Styela clava: one gene and its partner. The protein of the gene in region 1 interacts with the protein of each later gene in a pairwise test. Links are inferred from orthologs where the notes say so. Each region holds a gene or a part of one and is shown on either strand. Other genes may lie near its edges.

The links.
Region 2: the proteins of pre-B-cell leukemia transcription factor 1-like (region 1) and C-terminal-binding protein 1-like interact in a two-hybrid assay, tested with the Drosophila melanogaster proteins (2 studies listed by BioGRID, with this or other methods). The link is inferred for Styela clava from reciprocal best matches to the Drosophila melanogaster genes exd and CtBP.

The regions. Positions count from the first base shown.
Region 1 is NC_135254.1:7,434,650-7,447,242, reverse strand, and holds the start of pre-B-cell leukemia transcription factor 1-like, read right to left. Parts: upstream 5,016-12,593; 5' UTR 4,947-5,015; intron 4,575-4,946; 5' UTR 4,527-4,574; coding exon 4,500-4,526; intron 3,173-4,499; coding exon 2,997-3,172; intron 1,981-2,996; coding exon 1,907-1,980; intron 1-1,906. Other genes in the region: uncharacterized protein LOC120327068, read right to left, coding at 9,105-9,162, 9,255-9,583, 9,695-9,754. UniProt on the Drosophila melanogaster protein: Transcription factor which acts with the selector homeodomain proteins altering the regulation of downstream target genes such as wingless (wg), teashirt (tsh) and decapentaplegic (dpp), thus affecting segmental identity.
Region 2 is NC_135251.1:22,309,714-22,322,193, forward strand, and holds the start of C-terminal-binding protein 1-like, read left to right. Parts: upstream 1-5,770; 5' UTR 5,771-8,685; coding exon 8,686-8,814; intron 8,815-9,499; coding exon 9,500-9,641; intron 9,642-10,276; coding exon 10,277-10,483; intron 10,484-11,257; coding exon 11,258-11,382; intron 11,383-11,777; coding exon 11,778-11,981; intron 11,982-12,480. UniProt on the Drosophila melanogaster protein: Corepressor targeting diverse transcription regulators. Hairy-interacting protein required for embryonic segmentation and hairy-mediated transcriptional repression.

The DNA of each region.
Region 1 (12,593 bases):
TCCTAACCTTGTCAAAATCATAGGAAATACAAGGTCAAATTTCAGTGCTATGTTACATTATAGGGTATACTAACAATATTGGTATAGTTGGTAATGTGCATATGAAATGTTCGATACAGATCTAGTGTAATCAGTGTGGCCAGTGTGATTTCAATATTTTTAATATATAGTTGAAATACATGGTGTCCATAAAGTCCTATTACAATTTCAATTTTGTTATAAAGTCAGACTTTATGGACACCCTATATATCTTTTCAAATAACATTAATCTTTCCCCTATTTTTCATCCCTATTTTTAACACATCACTCTTTTAATCATGTCCTAATCTAATCTAATATACATATGGAAACATAGATAATTATTATTTATATTCAATATTTTAAATTTGTGGTATCAAGAATAATTTGGACTAGTTTCAATTTAAAATTGTCAGATTGAGCAGTTGAAGTCTTACAATATAAATAAAAGACCTTCATTCCATTTCTTAATTTCTTAAAACTGTGGTTAATAAATAATCACTGATTATTGCATCCCCTCCCAAAAAAAATAAAAAAAATGTAAAGCCGATTTCAAATATTGTTTAACATTTCTGGATGAACTTGATGAATTTTCTCAAAAACGATTAAATGAATTTAATCCACTGTTAATCTTCTGCTTTGATCAATTACAATTATAACACAGTTCAATTGCATGATTCACAAGTTCAAACACATTCTCTGCCGGATTAAATCAGACTTTTGTAAAGTTAATACTTCGTTAAGCCAACTTCAAAGCAAGGATGATCGAAATGTGAAATTCTATAGCATAAAAGGAATTAAGGAATATCATCTTAAATTATTCACTTGGTTTTGGTATGATTCAGTTGGAAAATTCGAATAAATTTTGATTTTATTTTAAAAAGCGTTAGATAATTTTTGAATATTAGTGACTTGAAAATTACAATCAAAAGAAATATATTATATTTTATAAAATGATTACGGCCCCAACAAAGCGAATGCGATCGGCCGTGCCCCAGCGCCCTCACGGGGCTCCAGGTCCGAAAAGACTCGTCAACGGCGGACACGGACTACTCCTATAAAGATATATGAAAGTGGATTCCAATGATACAATTCATCCAAATACAATCTGCCATTACATTTTGTGTGGAGCCTATTTCAAACAGAATAAAACATCTCATAAACCAGTGGTTCCCAAATCAAGGCCTGTAACGATTTAATATGGCCCGCCGAACTTAAGTGAAATAGTTAGACACTTTATGTTTTTTCTTTTTGCCTCCAAGATACCACAAAATTGTTACATGATCATCATTATATTATTGTAACAATTCAAATATATCGATATGTTATTTATATGTACCGGTACGGGTATGGGCCCCTTGCGGGCACTTTCTCTCTTGGCCCGCATCCTTCCGCTTATAATTTTGGCCCCCGGTCAATCAAGTTTGGGGACCACTGCCATAAGAACATCCCATAATCCAGCTATTCTCAGACATTAACATGATCTTGTTAAAACATCACTGTAATCATGCTACATACAGAAATAAGAGACAAAAATTGACGAACATTATTATTAAGGTGCTCCTGAAGTATGCGAACCAAGATGGCGGACATCGAAACGTAGCATGGGTAACAGGTTAAAGTTAGGCCATAATTTTATTCCAATTTTCCCTATTTTAGTCCTACTATGAGTTCGAAGACTAGCCAAGTGCCTCTTGTAGTATTTGTACCTAAAATTATGGCCTAACCCTAACCTAGTACACATATTACATTCCGATGTCCACCATCTTGGTTCGCATACTTCAGGAGCCCCATTATTAATGTATCTCAGACAATTTGCAACTAAAGCAACTTTAGTAAGCAACTAAATTTCCCTGTCAAACATCTGACAATCTGTACTTCATCTTACCTGATTTTTCTTTTATTTCACAAAGGACTTGAAACAGAGCTCCTTTCATTCTATGAACATTCAATGCATGTTTCCTGAAAACATGAATAATATGCATTAATAAGTTAATTTATAGCAAATAGAAATAAGAGAACCACGCAGCATATGAAAAACTTGAAAATTTTGGCTGTGAATGGGAGCATATCCACGGCCCAGGAAGCAAATAAAAAATATCCTGAAAACTTTTAACATATTATATTCAAATATTCGATTCATTGGTGAGCTATCAATACTAAGTTTATTCTTATAGTTTAAATCCCAGCCTTGAGCACAACTTGTAAAACAGTCAAACATGGGTATTGATCTGACATTGGCAAAGTAAGTTTGGTAATTCAATCTGGCCCGCCTGATGCAGCCACAAATAAACTAAAACCAAATTTTGATGTTTTATCCAAAAAATAACATAACCCAAGTAATTTGTTGAGATTACGATTAAATTTGATTTTGGCATGAGGCTTATTGTAACACTGCAAATATTGTAACACTGCAAATATCGTTCATAAAATGTAACGTTTCATGTCACACTTACATGGCCCGCTAGTCTAGGTGGGCAAAATTGTTTAGCCCCTGGTGCAAAAATCTTGCTCCTCTGGTATAGATAGACAACATAATGTACCATATAGGCAGACATGTTTGGTGCAAACATCCTAAGACACCTAATTTACCACCACCTTACATAGTTTGAGATTTCCCGCTACAGATTTAAAGGTGTAAATAAAGTGAAAACGAGAATATCGGTCGGAGACCGAAGACTTATAGATCTTAGATCGGTAATTAGTTAATAACTCGCTAATTATACGACATAATTAACCCAAAATCTATAGGCTTCTGGTCCGAGGTAAGATGCATGCACATGCAAAATTTGGAGCAGATTCAACCACGCGTTCGTGAGATATCGCGTTCATCTAACAGACAAACAGACAAATACCTATCAACATACTTACCGATCTTAAGATCGATAAGTAACAATTAGAAATTTATTCAACATATTTTCAGACATCTTGTAAAAGTTTCATCAGCACAAGAGTGAAAATAAAATTTCCAAAATAACCTGGCTTGAGCTTCGTCCAAACTTTGGTCAGTAATCGTCATAATCTGTTGCAAAACATCACTGATGTCTTGTTTTCTACCGAGAGGTAGAATATTTGATTGTGAATCTACATCGTTGCCTTGTTGTCCTCGTGGATTGTAATCTCCACCTCCGTGCATTTGCCCTTGCAAAAATGCCTGGGAACGCAAAATAATAATGTTAGTAATGCAAAATTCACCCTGCTGATTCTGTAGGGTTATTTTTGTCCAAAGACATATATTGTGTTTAACGTTTTCACCAATTTTGCAGCCAAATCAAACTGGCAGGGGATATGTATTAGAATTTCAAGTGTAGTATCTAGTGTCATAACAATTTCACAGTCTCAAAAAGAATTGCCAAAGTACCTCGCAGTTTTTGCAAAAAGTGCGCTGATAGTGAACACTGTAGCCCAATGCTTTTCAACATTGTTTCCACGAAGCGCTTATTGGGGTTCTGTGGGATTTGGTAGCTCGGCGACAGATTCTCTTTCAGTGGACTGTGTCAATTTCCCTATACCTATATGTGTGAAGCAGTAATTTCTACTCTAGTAACTATTATGAATTAAAATATGAGTCGCTTGAATAGTGGATATGTGCATAAGGATTGCACTGAGCAACATGAAGCCACGATTTCAATGAAACACAGAAATATTCGACTTTCATAAATTTATAAGTGTTTTTGAACAATCGTGGTTCCTTGATGAGACCAATATCATAATTACAGTAGGGCACAGTTTCCTGATTCAAAAATGTCCCCACATTTGGTGCAATAAAACAAACACTTTATTTGTCTCGGAAACCAAGGCATCTGGACCAAAATAGCATTTTTTTTCATAACTCTCCAAGCTACACTGCTGTTATCGAAGCCAAAAGTAGGGGTTTGCATTCACTGTTATAATTGATGTCTTTCAATGTGGGGTCTTCCAATTCTCAAAGAACTGTGCCATACTGTATTAGATAAATATAAATTAAGTGCCACATGCTTTTTGGGGCAAAAATAATGCACTTAATGCAGAAGTTCTACTAGACTATAAATCTAGAATCCAAGTTTAAGGGTAATTCGAAATTTTCAGATTACATAAGGACAACCAACAGCATAGACTCTTAGAGTAAGCAATTGAAAGTGAAATCTTGAAAACTAGACAATATCATTTGAGATTATGCCGGTACAGATATAGATAGATAAGATAAGTTTATTTCGACTCCATAATCAGCAAAAAGGCATAAAACGGTTGATAAAAACAAATAAATAAAAACTGATTATGAAATCAGCAGAGTAAACAAAACCTTGGATAAGGTTTAAAACGTACAGAATACTGGAATATAAGATGGAAGGTACGGGTATTGCCAAAAAGAAGTGGTACGTGTTCATTCACCTAAAACTATTGAATCAAACCATTCACACTCACACACATGTAACTAGTATTAGAATATTAATCAAAATGAGAATTTGCAAAGTCATTTTTCAACTGATTGAGCAACTCACCTGGCTGCCGTAATTCCCTTCATCCATTTGTAGCCACAGAATTTCCTTCAATTTAATTTTGCTAGATCCAAAATCCTGAAAATTACTTATTATGTCAAAATGAAAAGAACGAACTAAATCTGTAGTCTAAATACAAAAATAACCTCCAGTCTGCCACTAGAATATAGTTCATTACATACCAAAAAAATCCAATATGGATATCTACCTGACCTACATAAGTCTGTAAGTAGGCTACGGTATTACTTTATAGATTACGGTACCACTTTATACAAAAAAAAATAATGAGAAAAGCGTTTTTTTCACACAAATGCACAACTACATAAAAATGAAACGACCCATAGGTCCCTGTTCGTGTTAATAAACTAAATTAGATCCTCAGTTTTGGTATTACAGAACCTCCAAAATAAGTAAATATGCCAAAATAAACAAAAGTAAATATCATCCTACCCGAAAAGCAACAAAAGTTTGAAGCAGCAAAGCGCAACTTCGACCGACTTGCGCGTGAAAAAAACACTTCGAGTGCCCACTTGTGGTCAAACTAGAATTTACTCTTATTTTATATCAACCCCGTGCAACTAACTTGTCCCATTATGGCGTCATATGGACGCCATTTTCGATCATTCGGCTCGAGTAGTGTAACGCAAACAAGCCTAATTTTAGTAGTTTTAAAAGGCTATTGGGGCAGATTTAAATCAGTAGTTATATTCCGAGGGCGCAGAAATCCGATAGGATGTCGGGGCATTTACATTAAAAACCCACGACGCTCGGTAACAAACATAATATAGACGCAACGCACGGTTAGTAAAGTAAAGTTTATTTCGGTTTTTCGTAACACTAAAACAAATATATAGGCAATGCAAGTCAACACACACTCATATAGCCTACGGAAAATCGGGAAAGTAGGCAAAATCTTAAACTATTCAAGACCTGCTGATGCTAGGGCTACCAACCGTCCCGGGAATGGCAGGGACAGTCCCGGATTTGACGTCTGGCGTCCGGAATTTACTGACAACCGAAGCGTCCCGATGGCGTGACAAGACCTCCGTGATGATGTTTCCATTAGGATAGTAGACAAACACAGTTTCACACTACAACAGGCCTAAATGACTAAAACTAACTAAATTTTTCGACAGTGAAGGCGACGTCAAATGGGACTGTAGCTAAATATTGATGTCAATGTTACATTAGAAATTCGCCCCTTTTTAGACACTCCAGGCTCCAGCTGCATAACTGAGTTGTAAACGTTCTTACCAATGGCAGTACAATGAGAGAGAGAGATTTCAATATTTTGTCAACCAAAAAATACAGTCATCAATAAAATAGCCATAGCCACAATTTTGAGAAAAACGCAAAAAACAATTTGGAATTTTTTCATTCTTGAATATCTATTCTAGTCTATCTATTCGAAGTGATCAATATTAAGTTTAACCCTGAGAGATGACTAATGGCAAAACTTGAACTATTTAGATAATATTTTTACAATAAATTTGTGAACAAAATGAGGGGATGTGATGGAAAATTATACCTGACTGATACCTGAATTCAATGGGGTTCGGACGATAATAATCAGAAAAAAAAAAAAATTGGCTATAAACACAAAGTGGATCAGGGACAAAAAAATTAATGTGATGAGGATGTGTCTGAGCGTGAATAACAAATAAAATAAAGTGCAACCCAGTGGACATACACATTACACAGAAACACATTGGATAGGGCAAGAGGAATTCTATTCATAGGTTTGTCATGATCTGAAAATGTTTAAAAATTGCATGAACTTTATACATATGTTTGGGATTTTTGCAACCTTGCACTCCAAGAATGTTAATACTTATAATGTACTTATCAATAAGTTTTAGCAGGTCGGGTTTTGAAAATGTTTCTGACTCACACAAGAGGATCAATCAATAGAAAAATTCAATAATTCACATCTTGGGAATCGTGTCTACAAATCAAAGCGAGCAATGATTATCATAGGAATAGTGAACATTTTTATTTAAATCTTTGGTGTTACAGTATGATTCATGAAACCATTACAAACAAACTAATAGTCTAGAATTTGGAAATAATTTGATTAACCAATAAAAAGAAATGATACTTCATATCAACTATCAAAGACATGAGAAAAAGACCATTCAATTGATCAAGAATAGCATGTAAATACCTTAATATGAAAGACATAGAAAAGAAGTGCTATTCGATTGATCAACAATTAAAATTTTAACAATTAAATAACAAAGAAATGAAAAAGGTACAATAATTGAAACTTCAGCAGTATGTGTACCAAGTGACGGTTAGCCCCATATTTCATTCCGACCTTCCTCATCTTAGGTCATCACGAGCTCTGAACTGCCCATGTCAGCCAAGCGATGGCGACTACATACGAGTGGCTGATTAAAAACGCAAAAAAATAGCACCCCCGTGTTATAATGAAAGTGTTATGTTGTTTCATATCGCAAAAACGATTAGAGGGAAATGCCCCCCCCCCCCCCCAATTTTCACATTTTTGTACTTTTTTATATGACCCAACATTATAAGTTTCTGACACAACTGGTTCGTCCTGGAGTCGGCTGTTTCAATCAAACCCAAAACGTTTAAGAAATGATTTACGAGACATTCAAACTGGCAATTAGAGTTTACTTTGGCATTCACAACTCACTGTAGGCCTATTGTTATTTTTTGAAACTTCATCTCAGTCAATATTTTAGTTGATACAATTCTTGATGATTTGAATTTTTTGGTGGATTTGGCACATCGAATATTGTCATTCCCTTTTATTTTAATTTTTTCCATTTATCCGTACTCTTCGGTTCAAATTGGTATTCTTCAAAAGTGAGTCTGAAAAAGGAATGAGTTGTAGGTTACACAATGAACGTACTTTCGAAATACCAAGCGTTCAGCATCCCATTTTAACACAAAATATAATTGACAGTGACTTAACGAAACACGCATTCAGTTCAGAAATTCATTATTTCCACTAAGCTCCGAATTGTCTACTCATATTGCTGCTAATTACTATAAATTTTTGTTACTGCAGTGCTTTAAACAATCGTGACAATAAATCTGATACATTCAATGCAATGTTCTGACTTTGCATTACTTAGGAAGATTTGAAAACAGTTTCCCTAACCTGCTGACCTGACATCTGAAGCCAGCATTTAGAAAATCTTACTAATTTAACTCAACTTTCCTGGGGTCAGAGCTAACTTAAATGAGTCGAATCGGCAACGTGACATAAATAATTAAATATGACATCATCCTAAAACTGTGTACCACCTATCTTTCCTGGTGTTAGTTTGACATTAGGCCATTCGTTTGACTAACCTCACTCAAGGAACTGCCTGGGCCAGATTTCCAGCCTTTACGTCGCCTACAGTTATTTTCCCATTTCCTCCTTCTCTGCATCTGATGATAGCTTCAATAGTTGCACTGTTTTGCTATTCCCGCTGCAATTAGAGTCGAACAGCCTTTAATTCTATAGCAGAAGGCACCAGCCTAGCCGCGGATCACGCAGAACCGCCGTAACCTCGCAGGCGATATTGATCGAAAATGGCGGCCAATTTCCATTGTTGCGCAACTTAGGTATATAAGGACTTTGTTTTATATCAAGGGCCGGCAACCAACTTGCCTAATGTTAAACAGGTCCATGGACGCCATCTTGTGCCATATTTGGAAAACACGAAACAATGGAGTCTTATGGGAAATTTTCGTCGTGTTGTTGTACCGAATCAAATAACTCAGCTGTTAGTGGAGCAAGACTGAAACCGAAGGGTGGATTTTCAACGCCAAGCTATGAACTATGTAAATATGTAATAAAATATGAAGTACAACACTATCTATTGCAAAAAAATTGGCCGCAGAGACAACGTTGTGCAATTTTTCGATCAGGTCCTCGGAGATCTTTATTGCGACATACCGATTTGACGCTTAACAATGCAAGTATTCTGACGCAACAATGGATTTTATGTAATTAGATCCAAGTCCTTATTTAAAATAAAAACCCTACACAATTCAAATACCTTGTGAAAATGGGATTTATTATTATCAAATTATGTATTATTTTGCTATAAATCCGAACACGCGTAACTACTCTTGCGCATGGAACAAACAGTCGAACACGCATAGTTCACTAGGACAAAAATATACTGTATATTTGAACAATATGTAAGTGGCCGACGGAATTTAGCTGAAAATATATTTTAATAGTATAAATGCATTCGTGTAATATAATTAATGATAACCGTAACGTTGATGAAGTAGAACATCGAAGAGTACCTAACAAAATCGAATAAATTAAAAACAATCAAAAAATTTCAAAATGGAATCAAAATATATATACAGGTCTTTGACTACCTAATATTTGTTGCGCGAGCAGCGCTTCTGCTAGCATATTGGTGGCATATACTTTTTTGGGTTGCTCTCCTAGCATAAATTCGCATTCTCAAGAGAATGTATCTATCTATAATTTTTTCAATTAAATTATGGCAACTGGAGAACAATGGTCGTCTTAAGCATTCGATTTTTTGTTTTAATAATGCTTTTGGATTAGGCTGCAATTTTAAAGTTTTTATGTTGAGCCGAAAAATAGATTCCAGTTGTTGAAAATATTTAAGCAGGGACAGTGATGGATGAATCAGGTGCATCGAATTTTCGGTTGATATTAAGTCTTTATTATATGATTTAAAAAGTGTTAAAAGGGCTTCGGGACAATCCTTCATATTGATCGTATATTCTTGCCTACAAAATGATTTTTCACACGTTTCACATTTTTCTATATTTTTAAGTTCTTTAAAAACAGCCCATCCTAAAATATAATAAAGCCCGTTGGACTCGCAAATGTCCATGCAGACGACTGCAGATTCAATAAGTGCGTCCACTTCATTGATTTCGATGTTCGGTTGTGGCTCATCATTCGTCAAAGAATATGAGGCATTGCTATGTTCTTTTATAAATGTTATCAAGTTTTCTGAGTCGTCCGTGTCGTAATTTCCACTCGAGGGAACGTGGAGAAACTGACCAACCGATATTAATTTTATTGCATTTCGGAATTGACATGCCTTCGGATGCGAATTTCCCTTACTTCGCACCTGTGATGTTAAAAACATTTCATTCAGAGATCACCATACGACTATATAAATGCAATTACGATTTATTTAATATATTCTATCGCTGTACTGAAAGATAAGACAAAAAATAACCTGAGAGAATAAATTCTCTACAGCATCTTGTGTTAGTTTTCCAGGTAGTAAAAAATTCATTTTTCCGCCTAGCACAATGTCAGCATGAAGCCCGATTATCGAAGTTGTTGATAACTTAATACCGGATTGAATTGGCTTCGATTTGTTTCCTGGAAATACTAAATTCTGTACGACGCCGATCACCTAAAATATTTGGTGCCCGTTTAGTATGCGATTTTACTTACAATATATATGATGTGTCACTTACAACAGACCTCGATAAGGTGATCGAGCTTTTTTCGAGAGTTAGGGAACAGAGCATTATCAATGGACCTGGCGTTTACAATATCGAACCATTTGTTGAAGAATGAACAGAAGAATGATGTCGACAAAGCATCTCTTGGCAGTACGCCACTCTCCACAAGCGTTTTTATTGCGCATGCTGTACTATGACTGATAACCTATGAAAGATGGAGTTTAATGTAAAATTCTAACTCATTGGTTTATGAAGAAAAAAAATGATTTAACAATATTTTATTTCAGCAAAAATGTGAAATTACGACTTTTATACTGTTACTTCAATATTTTTAAATAGGTAGAAATATACTGAAATACAGGTAGACCTGAGCCGCTAGACCAACTCTCATTTTTTGATATTTTGAAGGTTTTATATGCTTCTCCGTGAGCTTTGGGGCAAGTTTCATCTCTTTTTCTCTCTGTTCATCTGCCACTTTCTCAACGTAACAGAATCGAACCTGTGGTTAGATAAATTTTAGATTTAGCCTATAGGTATAATACACTTACTGCGCATTTTTATCAAGCACATTTTTGATACTCACCATTTTTGTCGGAAGATTATATTTCGTAACGACAGATGCTGGCAATTCAATGTCATGATTCATAAAAGCTGTTCGTAAATTTTTTATAAGGTGCGGTACGTCGGCAATAAAATGAAGTTTCCTATGTTCGAAAGCAGGGTGAGGCACAGACCAATTCACTTCGAATCTAAAATAGAGTAAGCAATGAGAAGTTAATATGGTGTAAATTGTAATGGATAGGCTTCTTCGTGATATATGTATACGCGGATATCACATCCTTAAAATTATTCAAACCTGTTAGAAACTATCCCCGCACTTCTCCACATTGCTTGATTGCTGGATCCCATGTCGCTGACAATAGAAACCACCGTGAATCCACGTTCTGATAGAGCTAATATCATTTGTTTGGTTAAGCACCATAGGTCATTTCCGCTCACAGAAGTTCCGGTGTAAAAATAACCTGAGAAGTCACAGCAAATTGGAATAGCCTACTATGTTTGATAGAAAACAACAAAATAATGAGCAAAACAAAGAGTATTCCACCCCACCTATAAGCTGCTTCCACTTCAGAGAAATTCCCTTAACCATGAAACATAGCGCATGTGAGGCAAACGTGTCTAGAGGTTTTCCACCAAGAACTTCAGGGTTAATATAACCAACAAACTCCTTAATGCCAATGTCGTAGTCGACTCCTCTGGATATCTGAACCTCATCCAGCATTACCGAACACAAATGAGCACGAGTATCCAAGCCTTCCATTTTTGTCTTCATCCAATCCAATATCAAATATTGAACCCCAGCTTTCAGATCCAATTTGAATACCCGTGAACATAACGTTCGATAAGCTGGAAGGGGGAACGCTATTTTGCGCAGATATTCGTACCTTAAAAAAACAAATAAATATATCATGTTCATTTGCATTCAAGGTGACGTTTACCGCAATGTTTATATGTATTACGTATATATATATATGTATCATGTTTCCGGAAACGCAAAATTTAAATATATTTTTTTTGAGCATGCCCAGAAATTAATTACGCATAATTGGTTTTTAACAACTTTTAGAATCTCAGCAGAGACTGAACTTATTTTTTTTTTATCATACCCAGAAATTCCTGTCGCACATCTAATTTGCAGGGCAGAAAGAATTGTTTCGTCAGTCCATTGATTTGCCCTGCTACCACGAGGCTTTTTCAGTGATTCCAGTTGGTCAGGATTCAAAAATGTATGTAAATTTTCCTTCAGTTTCTCCACTTGTTTTTGTAGTTGTGAAATCTAAGATGCAAGTAACGAGAAGATTTAATCAAGCTCAATAACTATGTTGTTAGTTCAAATTGACTAAAATACACGTTAATGGTTATCACTTAGGTTGCACCAGAATTTCGACAATTAAGCAAAAAAAAACGTAATATTTACTTGGAATTTTAGTCTTCTGTTTTCAGACAATAGTGCTCTGCAGGTAGAACAATCAGGCCCCGTAGTACTTTTTCCTTCAGCTAATAAAGCCTCATCTTCTGGCACCTCGGAAATAACCTGACGGGAAACTGGCCGACAATAGCTGTGTTCACATACTGAGATGCCATGATATATAATGAGAGTTTAAATTACAAATCAACAGATAGTGGCTATGTCGTGTGATATTTTATTTATTACACATAAAATATACACATACACGTTTCAAACAAACGAACAAGTAATGAAAACAAACAAATAAGTGCAGACATATAAGAGGATATATAACAGACGTACATATAAGCTAGGGTGACCATATTTCCAAACCGTAAATGGTGACCGTGAGTATTCGGCAGTTTTTTTGATCTTCGTCAACATTACCGGGTTATTTTTTCCTTATCGTACAATTGTCTGCAAGAATGCCGTTAAAATTGGGAACTAAGTGGGTATACTAACAACAGACTCAAAGCATGGATACTTGACATATTACAAACTGTTGATTATATCATAAGATAAATTCAAATATTTAATCCCGTGAAAAAGGAGGACATTTTGGCATTTTTAAGCGTCCTCGGAGGACGTAAATTCTTTATTAAAAACGGAAGGCAAATCATACACAAGCAGTACGTATGGCCACCCTAATATAAGCA
Region 2 (12,480 bases), on another chromosome or scaffold:
AAACTTCATAAGAATAGGATTTACAAGCCAGCCTATACGTGGCGCCATAGGTTAATGTACACATTTGTAAAGACAAAGTTTCAAGCCTGAAATATATTAATGCTAAATCCACATGCAACAGACAGTTGGTAGGAGAAGGAATGAATATAGATGGTCCCGAGCGACCATGGAATTGACTCTTCCGAAGAAGACTGCCATATATAGACCACAAGTTTGATTTACTTTGGTAGCTACGCAAAATGTGTGCTTCCGACTGTGCAATGATTTAGGTAAAGACTAATTTTAAATGTCTCTAGCAAATACCTAAACCTAATTATCTAATTCTAACGTGCGGAAAACTTGATTCTTAGAAATGAGTATAGGAAACCTCAAGCCCGCCTAAGGCCGAGAAGACTAGTGCGCGATAAAACACGAATATTCTTCAACGGAGTTTAAAGTAAGCTCCTGCTGACAAAAATATATTTAAAAGATGACTCTACTTACTTTTGTGACGAATATTTTTCCGGCTGACGATAGCCTCGTTATTGACGTGTTCTTCTTACTAAAGTATTATGATTCTAAAACTTCAATATATACTAATCTGTTCCCTGTGATAAAAAAAACGGTATTTAATAATGATCGATCGAATCGGTCAATATTAATCTCACATAAGTTTTATACAACATTACAAATATTTTACACTGTCTGATACAAATACAAAATATGGAGTTCCTAAATTAAATTATACTACTCTATGACAATTTTGTTGAACGAGAGAACCAACCAAAATATCCAACATACCTAAGGCTAAGAGAGTTCAACCTGAACGCAATTATTTTGATAATTACAAGCTAATCGCAACTAAACAAGGAGTGACTACGCTATTTTTTATCGCGTGATTTTATACTTTCATAACCGCTGTGTCATGTTTACTATTACATTTCTCGTCTTCTAATTCGCATATGTTTGATTTGAAGTTCAATCAATCGCGTCACCAAATGAAAGTTGTTACGTTAAGCGTTACGGTCTTGTATTAAAATAGTTTGCAATTTTAAATTCCAAATCAAAATAACCATTATAAATGATGACAATTGCTACAGCGATTACTGTAGGCAATAAATACCTTGTGAACCACAATTATTGTTATCGCGAATTGACACTTAAATAAATCATAAGAAGAAAAAAGTTGAAAAGACACACAAATGGCACTATTTCGATTCGCAAGCTTTAAAAAAGCAATTGGGCCATTTTTTAACTATTTGACAATTCATGTTGGAATGATGGAAAATGAGCATCATTCGCCAGGCAATATTTTGATCTAAAATTAGGACCCTAATTTGTTTAAAATTGTTTAATTCAAGATAAGCACCCATACTATATATATATTGGATTTGCCATATAAAATTACGTAAAAAAAAGTTGCAACTTACTGATCAGGAATGATATTCAAGAAGTCCAATTCTTTCGATATTATTACAGATATCATTTCAGTCATTGGTGAACGGACGATAGATAAACACATATAAGACTTTACCTTTTTCACAAAACATGAGGAATTTTGCATAAAATCCCTCTGCAGTGTAACAATTGTCTATAAACAAGGTTTGGGTATTGTAAAGTGGAAATACCTCATCTGATGTGTCAAGCTCACATTATAGCCAACACTGTTCAGATTCTTTTGACTTCAAGCCAAATCATCGAAGGGTCTAGGAAACAGCAATGCAAAATATCTGTTGCAGGTAGAAGTCCCGAATTGCGTGCCTGTTCAGTCTTTCACAATTGCACTTACATGTATTGATAATCCCTATCTAACTCATTCGGATGCCAATATACCGCACATTATTGTGTTTCCAATTGTCCATTATAGTAATGTTGCACAATCAAAATAGAATTATTCAAAGTAACAGACAAGATAGCAATGCTTAAATATTTAGACACGAAAGTCGAAACGAAATATTTTTACCCACAATTCCCCCAAAATCATGTCCTGAACGAATCTCGAACTGTGTAACAGTGATCGTAACTAGGTCTAGTGTGGTTTAGTGCCACAAGTATATTTCTAGTGGGCATGGCGTAACAATTTTTTGAATATATAGCTGACTGCGTTATTAAAAAATCACGTCACCGAAACGTCACAACCACGTAATGGACCTTTCCCCGAGCAGCGACTTCCTTGTTTACTTCGTGACATTGGCCAATCAGCAAGATGCAAAAAGTGACGTAACAATGCCCCCTTTTCGCATCCGCTCAGACACTTTTCTCACTCAGACAGATTTTCAAGCGCGGTTGTAAACATTACCTCGTTTTCGCGTTTTTGAACTCTATTCGTTAGTTTTCAGTTCTGTTTCGGAAACTTAAATAAAAATCAGATAATTCAATGATCACTCTGTCTTCCTAGGAGTTTTAATTTAATTGCAGTAATAAAAATTAGTGTAGAAATAGCTGTGATAGACTAGCCTGAAATTCTTTACCGGTACTTTTAAAAAACAGATTGTTGTATGCGATGAATCATAATGATGGTTTGAAACACATACCCCATTTTACAAGCGCCAACTCGCAAAAGCACTCTTAAAATAGCCCTGAAAATTTTGCAATGGTAAAGTATAGGAAGAATTTTCCGGGGGTCAAAGGTCGGGGAAAGGTCCATAGATCTTGCCAGCGTAGAGCTAGCGATCGTCCGTAATGGCTTCTGCGACAAAGATAAGAAACTCACTGAAGCCAGCTATTTCTCATGTATTAGGTGATTGACGACTGTGAGGTAATTTTTGAATGGCGTAGTCATCAGGAGGTCAAGAATGAAATATTCAATAATTGCTGGTACTAAACTGTTCCCGTCAATAAAAATGAAACTAGATGAAATATCAGATCTCATAAGATTCAAGGAAATCTAGGAATAAATAAAAGTAATACCGACTAGAGACAAAAAACAATCTTTTACAACTGAAATTTTCGAAGCTATTGGTCCAGTAGTTAACAAGAATAAAGTACCGCCACCACCAACAACATAATAGCAAAACGATCCATAGCTCCATTTCGTGTTCAATAAATGTTATTCTGTGAAATAAACCCTACACCTTAGCGCTATCTAACGATTTTACTCGGGGTCAAATGAATTTTATATTCAAGTGCCAGCCAACATAATTAATATCGTTGATGGCTTATTTTCATTAAAAGTCTTAATCTCTATGCTGCGCCACTCAGTCACTACATCAATACAATTGTTGTAATAAATAATGATAATAAAAATACATCAATGCGCCAAAATATGGATACTAAAGTCAAATATCAAATAAATGAAATAGCCAAACTCTGGGTGAAACATCGTTTCATATGAGATTCTAAAGCAGGGGTCGGCAGCTTTTTGTCGCTCGCGGACCAAAATTAGGGGTTGCCAGTCTTGGCGGGTCGCATATCTTTTTAGAAAGGGAAATTCACAACTCGTGAAATCAACTTAGTCGTCTTATCCAAAGAAAAGTTTACAAATGAAATTTAATGCGACACTTTTTGTTGCATCACGCCTGATACGTTTTCGACATCACTAAATGGGAAACATTTTCTAAATGGGACACTGGTAAAAGCCAAGATTAAAACATTTTATAAAAGGGAATCACTGATCCGAGTTCTCAACTTAATTTTTGTACTGTTCATTTTCGAAAATAATTGTTTGTATGCATATCTACTTCCAAACATCGATGTGAATCTTTTCGCAAAGTTTGTCAAATTTGGATAGAATTTTCCTTCAAGGACATACTTTTTATGAAAATCAAGCAGTGAAACATCTCTTGAATAGAATATAGCTTTATTTCCTCATTGCATTGCACTTCAAATTCCATTCAAATATTTACTGTTCCATCGAACCCTTTGCACTTAGCATCAACTTTTTTGCGTTTTGTTGCCATTTGTCTAATTATAGTTAAGTATAGGCTTTTTAAACGAGTAATTGTAAATTATATACTTGTTAGGTTATAATATAATTTAGTCTACACGTGTTTCACAATAAATCATGTTAGGTAAAGAATATAATCGTTATAACAGCGGTTCCGTTACTATAATTCAGTGGAGCGTCGCTGGCCGGATTATTTTACTCCGCGGGCCGGATTTGGCCCCGGGCTGTAGGTTGCCGACCCCTGCTCTAAAGTCTGAATAAAGAAAATAAATTAATATAACCTCTATAAGCACTACAAATTTGAAAGCTCTTGCTTCTTTATCTGGGAGGAAAGCGATTCTTTTTCACAACAATAATAACAACCCCAATAACAAGTAATTAGACAGGGTTCATCTTGTTCAAGAATGTGATGAGTGAGCTATTGACCAAACCATTTTTGTTAAATGAAAATAAGTTCTATTGCATATTATGTGATGGGTCCGTTTAGGTGATGAATTATTAAAAAAAGTTCTTTCTGGATTGTATTTAGCATCCCAGTGCACCATCAATTCAAAAATAATCTCCTCAAAAACGATTCTTGGGATATTGCGTAGATCGGAATTATCTAGGTTCATGGATAATTGCGGTCGGCAACCTTTAGCTGGTCGCGGGCTAATATCAAATCTTATAGGCCAGATATTTATATCATACAAAACAACGTGTATGCAATGCGTTTTACACTGGTTGGAAGGAGTGCTGCATGAGGGCGAGCGATGAGACTGCTTGTTACCAAAAACTAATATCTTTTATCTTTCTATTTGAATGATAATTGCTCGCACCCACCCTTATATAGGCCGGCCGTGGGTTAACGACTCACGATCGCTCCGTTTTAGCCTAATCACAATGTTTCGAGAATCTTTCGAATATACTGTATGTTATGAACCATTTTAACCAATTTTTTAGTTTTTATTAACCTCGAAGATTATCACTCACCCACTGCCATTTTGCCTGAGCAGTGGATATCGGTAGCTTCGAGCAGCCCAGTGCTGAAGTCAAGGGTCTGGCTGAGCGCGCGTGTTTGGGTGTTGCAGTGTCGGGCATCATAATAGGATACAGGGATAGGATGGGATTTACGGTACATATTTATCCCGGGGGAGAGGAAAGCCGATAAGACTGCCTCTCGTCCGGTTACCATTCCAAGTCGGGTATGGGATTAGTTACCGGTATATTGTTTGTTTCGGAAGCATGGACTTGGTGGTTGAGGAAGCCGTAACCGACCAGCGGTTACGTGAACCACCCAACGACGGCGAGGAGTCCAGCAATCGTCTCGCACATAACCATCCCTGCATGGGATTCGAACCTGCGAACCCACGCAGAGTAATTAGAGGTGCGGTGGCGAGCGTATTTCTAACGCTTAGCACGTTGAGCCACACCGCCGCGGCATACCTAATACTCTTGTCAGTTTGTGATGTGCGTCCTGGTGTCAGTACATTTTGATTTCAAAGTATCATGGCAGTCGCCGATTAAAACGCCAAAATGGGAAAGTTCATGTTTCAGCGTTCTGATTATACATTCAGAATTTACCGTTACGGTAGGAAAATAAGTATATACATTAACGACAGCATCATCAATCACATGTATTTTCAGTAAATCTCTGTTCTGAAGTTAGAGCTGTAGAATGGCGTCAGCTATTCGGTCGATGTGGACATAGCCTACATATCGACCGAATAGCTGACACCATTCTACAGCTCTAACTTAAGAACAGAGATTTACTGAAAATACATGTGATTGATGATGCTGTCGTTAATGTATATACTTATTTTCCTATTTGTACATACATGTGTCCCTTATTTATTATTTAATTATTGAAAATTCCACTTTGTTGGAACCATGAAAAAAAAGAAAAAAAAAGAGATTTACTTACATCTGTAATTTGAGAAAATCCTCATTCTGTCATTTGATTGTTTTTGTCAAGACTCGATTGATGTTTCGTATCGACTATCAGACTTACAGATTTGACATGGTACCGGTATCTGACCTATCATTCAGCATTTTGTAGCAGAAACTGAGTCAGTGAGTAGACATTTTCACTTGCTCAAAATAAATAGAATGACTTGATGCAAGTCTGATGTTATTATCTAGTAGGGTATTGTAGTCGGCTAGTGCTGTAGTAGTGAAGTCTGAGAAAAGTATGAACAATAATATAATTATAATTAATCCTATCCTATTGAATACCGCAATGTCAGAATATGTCCAATGGAATGGTAGAATGGGATATGAAATTATTCAACACCGGAAATTGAAAATGAAAGTCGCATTCTGAACAAACACACTGGACAAAGACTGTCTCCTAAAGGAGGGGCTTGAATTCACTGTTATACTTGATGATTATTAATGTGGGGGCTATTCTTGAAATCAGAGAACTTTGCCCTACTGTACTGCAAATGAACTGAAAGTACTCACATGGACCATATTCTTTCAATTTTTTTTGTTGGAATACAGGAATAAACATGTAGCTTATAATAAAGCTATGTAAACCATTTTCGAATCAAAGATTGGAATTTCGGGCTTAAATTATCACATTTGGTTTGTTTTTAGAAAAGTATAATACAGTTATAATGTGAGTTTTAGAAAATTATGGTCGAAATGATTTGTCTGAATAAAACGAGCTTTTTTAGCTGCATGGCCATTCATTGTTGGTACTTAAAATTATGCTTTTCAAATTTGTTATATTATTCATTTATTCAATGAGATAATTATAAAAATAGTAATTTACACTATTTTTGTATAAATTATATACAAATTTGGAAAGCTATTTTTGTACATATTTTTATCAAAAAATTGTTCATAACCTTTATCAACAGGACCTGATTAAACATAGTCACACATTTATATGTGACAGCTATTTCCTTTGAATTCTGACATAAAATATATACCTATATGTACATACACATATATGTATATATTGTAAAATGTTGAGAGTCAAGATTGACTGTATATTGTAAAATGTTGAGAGTCAAGATTGACTGAATTTAACTTAGCAAATAGAAATGTGCATTGTTCAATTGGTTCGTTTGATTTAAATGGGTGTGTCACTTTTGAAATTTTTCATCAGAAGAACTTCAATTATGTTCAGTACGGTCTGTTTATTTAATTACTTTTCATTCAGTTGGCTTATTCAAAAGTCATGTTAAATTTTTCATACATATTACCGAGTTACCGTATCATAATAACTGTCATACATTACACAAATGAAAAAAGGTATAAAACAATTGCAACATTGAATATTTATGATGTTCTAATATCATCTAATTCTGATAATTCTACAATGAAGTAACGATTAATGCATAATATCATTAACATGTTGTACCTTGTAATATTTGCATTCAGAATAACAAGGAATATTTTGTTAATTGAATTGAATAAGGTAAAAGTTTATAAACTGTTTATAAACTTCAATTTTGCGAGAATAAATTTCTGTGATTCATTTTCAATTCGAATTGTGAATGTGATGCTGATTATAGATGATCCTTGTTTGTTGTTGTTTTAAACTAGTTACTCGAAGACAAGAGTAATTTAATAGTGTGCCATTCTCCATTTATTTGCATTTTTTTATTCCGTTATATTTATATTCAACTGCAGAAATACCATTCCAAATTTTTATAGTTTTGCTATATAAAATGTTTTCCTAACTGTGTATTAATTCAAATTTTTTAAGCTAGTTGACGCTATTTGTATTAGGATGTTGCACAGTTTGAACTAGGAATTCTGGAAAAAATCAAATAGGCTAGTCGATGATTTTCAGATTTTTAAATTGTTTACAATAAAGTTTTACTTTTGATAATACTATAGTTCACAATAATTTCATTTTAAAATTAGCTTTTGATCAATTGATGTGTGAGAACAAATAGTTTACATTCAACCTTAAAAACTACCGGTTTGTATCCAAAATATTCGGTTTGGACATTTCCCGATTTGAAGTAGTTTTAGTATTTTATAGCACATTTCATTAGCTAAGTAAATATATTGTCAACATTGCACCAAACAGTTTAGTTGTAATAATTTATTTTGTTTTGGCGGGTTTTCTAGCCATGGTTTATGATGACTAGTGAATTCCCCACTCTAAATTTCACATCAAGTAAGGCTGTAAATACGATACTAAAGTGTTTTGCTTTTGGGTAATATGGTTACTCAGGAAATAAAGTACACTTCCTGCCGGCATCATATTGTTTTCCATCAGCATGTGATTTTCTTAGTAGGAAAAAATATTAAATTACTACCAGAAGCTGTTTCCTGTAATATGGCGCTATATTCAATTCAGCTACGGGAGTATAGAGGCATTACAACACAATGTTCTAGTAATAAGTCCTATGATATTTAATTCACATGTATAAGTCCATTAATGCAAGTTCTTTATACGAGTTCATTTGGATGGCGATTACGTTAGTTGAAAATAATTTTGATTGTTTTTTAAAGAAAAGATTCTTAGATTTGAAGCTACCAGTGTGTTCATATTCTAATTGGAAAATTCTAATAATGTGAAGAGACTTTCCATAATGCATGGCTGGAATCAAAACTAGTCTTGAATTAAAGACACAAATGACGGTTCTTAATAAAGTTTATTCTAATGACAGCTCTATAATAATAACGCTTTCAAATGTTTAATAGTTGTATCTATTTTGAAGCCAATTATATAAAATTATCACTTATTTTATTTATTAGGAATTGCATTTAACATATTTAATTCATGCTGCCAGATTTTTCTGTAATTGTGTATAATATTAAATAAGTAGGTTATATCAGCCATTGCATGACTTAGACTAATTTTAATCACAATCACCATGGCTGGAGGAAGGCCTTTGGTAGCCTTGTTAGATGGAAGAGATTGCAGTGTGGAGATGCCAATTTTAAAAGACATAGCAACAGTAGCTTTCTGTGATGCTCAATCAACACAAGAAATACATGAAAAGGTAATGATTGGAACTGTTTTGAGTTGAAAAAAAAAAATTTTTTATGTAATTGAACGGAAAATTCAAAAAATGTTTGTGGTTATTTAGTATAAATACTTGGAATTTTTCAAACATGTTTATCGTACTAATTAGGAAGTATCCATCTCCTAATATTTTTTGTATGAATTTTTGTTTTGGTTTATTTTGATTTCTGTTGTTCAATATTTAATAGTATGCTGCTGAAATGTGATATGTCATATTATGTGATTTACAGAATCTTGAATTTGCTACCAACATGATGGTTTTGTTATTAAATCAAACTCAATTAAATGATTAGCACTCATTTGAATGCTCTATCATGAAATTCATTCATATTTTATTCTTCAAACTGCCAATATTTATCTAACTTTAACGGAGGAAACTTGAAAAAAACCTTTTGGGAAAATTTGGGAAAAGTATTTTCTTGACTTCTAAACATCTCTGCTTTTCACTGAAATAACTTTGGTGAATATCGTTTCAAACTTTGTTCAGAAAAGCTGCTTTTAAATTTTTTTGTTGGAAACTTTCAACATTCACCCTAGCATGTTGAAACCCTCAAATTGAGATGTTTGATTTGATGGATGACTGCTAATGTTTCAATTTAAAGGGGGGTTAAAGTTGTGAGTTGTTGCTATATTTGTTTATATCATACTGTTTATCTTTCAAGGTGCTTAATGAGGCTGTTGGTGCATTGATGTCACGCATTCCTTTGACGAGAGAAGATCTTGAAAAATTCAAAGCCCTTCGTGTCATAGTTTGTATAGGGTCTGGATATGATAATGTTGATATAAAAGCTGCTGCTGATATGGGTAGGCAAAACTGAAAAAATTTCAAAACAATACATTTTACTTTGATTTGGGTATTCTGCGTATGAAATTGGAGTTTATAATGACTGGATATGGTTTTGATCGTCTTTTCAATAGATATATTTTTATAAATCTTTACTTCAAATTTTTCTTATTGCTAATCTTTTGAGGTATTTAACATCTTCACTTTTGCACAATGCTTATTTGGGCAGATAGAGCTAATATAGTTTAGAAAGGAATGGAATATTTCTCTTTGCTTAACGCAATGGTTCTCAAACCTGAATGATTTGTGGCCACTTCCAAAGATTTTGCTGAATAAAAAAAAAAATTAGATTTGCTTTTGACACTTCTCCATCAGTTGTTTTATTCGTTACATTTAATATTAAAAAGATAACGAATGAAAGCAAAAGAATAAAGCACTGCAGTCAAAGAATTAAACAATTACGGTCAATTTACTTTCAATTGTTGTAGTTATCACAAATGGCATCTATGCCTTGTGGCTCCCAGAAAACCACTTTGTGGCTCGCTAGGGCCCAGTTTGAGAAGCCTAATGCTTGCCTAGGTTATGTTGTCTGAATTTCTCATTTCATGCAAGTTTGTTTTCATGTGATATAGCTAAAGACATTTCTTTGTTTCAGGAGTGGCTGTGTGTAATGTACCTGCTGCCACAGTTGATGAAGTTGCCGACACAACAATATGTCACATATTGAATTTATATAGAAGAGTAACTTGGTTACATGAATCAGTAAAGGAAGGCAGGCGACCACAGAACAGTGAAAATGTAAGAGAAATTGCTGCTGGAGCTACAAGAATTCGTGGAGAAACGTTAGGAATCATAGGATTAGGTCAGTCATCTTCAATATACTTACCGTAGTTGCATTAGTTTTATCATTAGTTTTTAAGAAAACGAAATTATTACTTTTTCACACAGTTATAGCATAAACATTTTCAATTGTTATTATCGTGTTTGACTGTTTTCCCAGTGTATTAATGCTTAATTACAAAGATTTTTATACCGCTTGTCAGTTGTCACTAATATATATACAATGATTCATACAACACTCCCAAATTCAATGACTCATTATCTGGTATTTTAATACTTCCATAATAAGTATGGAAAGCTGCCACAACATAATAATGTGGGTTATGGTTTTATTCTGTTCCTGACTAAATGTTGGTATTATTCTCGAGATATCTTTTTAAATTAAAAAATAGGAATCAACGGTGTTTTTGCTGATTGTAACAAAAATCTAATTTGGTATCTGAATGAATCCACAAGTTATTTCAAGTAATAAAGTTTTTTGTGCGGTATAAATTATGATGTATGCTTAATTTTTTTAGGGAAAGATAATGGACTGTTTTTTTTACTAACCATAAGGAAATTTTTAATCATACACCAGTGTAAATGTAGAAACTGGACTAGAAACAAAATTTGTAATTGTAAATAGTAATTGTGCTTTTCATTTGCCTGTCCTAATTAGATTAAACAAGTTCTTCAACTTCCATTACTTTTACATATTACGGTACATTTACTATTCTCATGCCATGATACTGCTAGTGCCATTCTATCATTTTTTATATTTAAATATGGAAATGAATATTTATATTTTCATTCTCAGGTCGGACGGGTACAGCAGTCGCACAAAGAGCAAAAGCTTTTGGGTTTAATATTCTATTTTATGATCCATATTTATCGGATGGAATTGGTAAAGCTCTCGGATTTCAAGATGTACCTACTTTGCAGGTGAAATATATGATTTGTAGTATGTATGTATGTACTATGTAGAATTTCTCGAAGTAAATATATTGAAAAAAAAATTTAGGTTCACAGTTAGCATGTGTTAAGCTTGTCTATTTCAGATATGCCTCTATCATATCAATGGCTAAAGATGAAAGATTTTAATAAAGTCATCATAATTGTTTCTAATATTCAGCACAAATTTGTACATCCCTGAATGTTAACACGTTCATTACATTTATTCTTCAAAGTAGTGATTATCAAAATATTGTTTTAACCAATCCAGGTTCTAATTGGGTTTCCCAAATCATGTATTCTTGCCCACTGACTATTTTAATAGTATGGAATTTAACCAAATGCAGATGAACTGTAATTTTTTTCCTTCTGTTTTGCGCCACTAGGATCTACTGTACCAGAGTGACTGCGTTTCAATACATTGCAATCTCAATGAACACAACAATCATTTAATAAACGATTTCACAATCAAACAAATGCGACACGGAGCGTTTCTTATCAACACAGCACAAGGTTCCCTTGTAGAAGAACATGCACTTGCTTCTGCACTTAAAAATGGAAATCTGAGAGGGGCAGCTCTTGATGTACAGGTCATATATAATCATTATTTAATTAAGATCTCCATATTTATCTTGGGGTAAAGAAAAGTATATGACGAACCACGGTGTCTTGTCCAGTGACCAGTCCATATTGGGTATAGGAATAGTTGATCACGTCTTTGTTTCAGATTCAGGGACTTGATGTCGGGGAAAGCCGTAACCGACCAACAGTTTCGTGAACCATTCTACAACATACAACGATGAAGGGTCCAGCAATTCTCTCGCACATAATTATCTTCGCCACAGGATGCGAAGCTGCGCAGGGTATTCAGAGGTGTGATGACAAGCCCATCTCTGATGATTAGCACGATATACCAACTGCCAGGCCATTTTTTCTTTCCGAGTATTGTTGATGGTATCATACTATGAAACCATGTGTTCATATATAAAAAGCTTCTTTTAAATCAGATATTAAAAAATGGATATTGTATGATTATTTTCTGAAATTCAAGTTTGTTAAATATATATTTTGACATGGTGGCGATTAAAT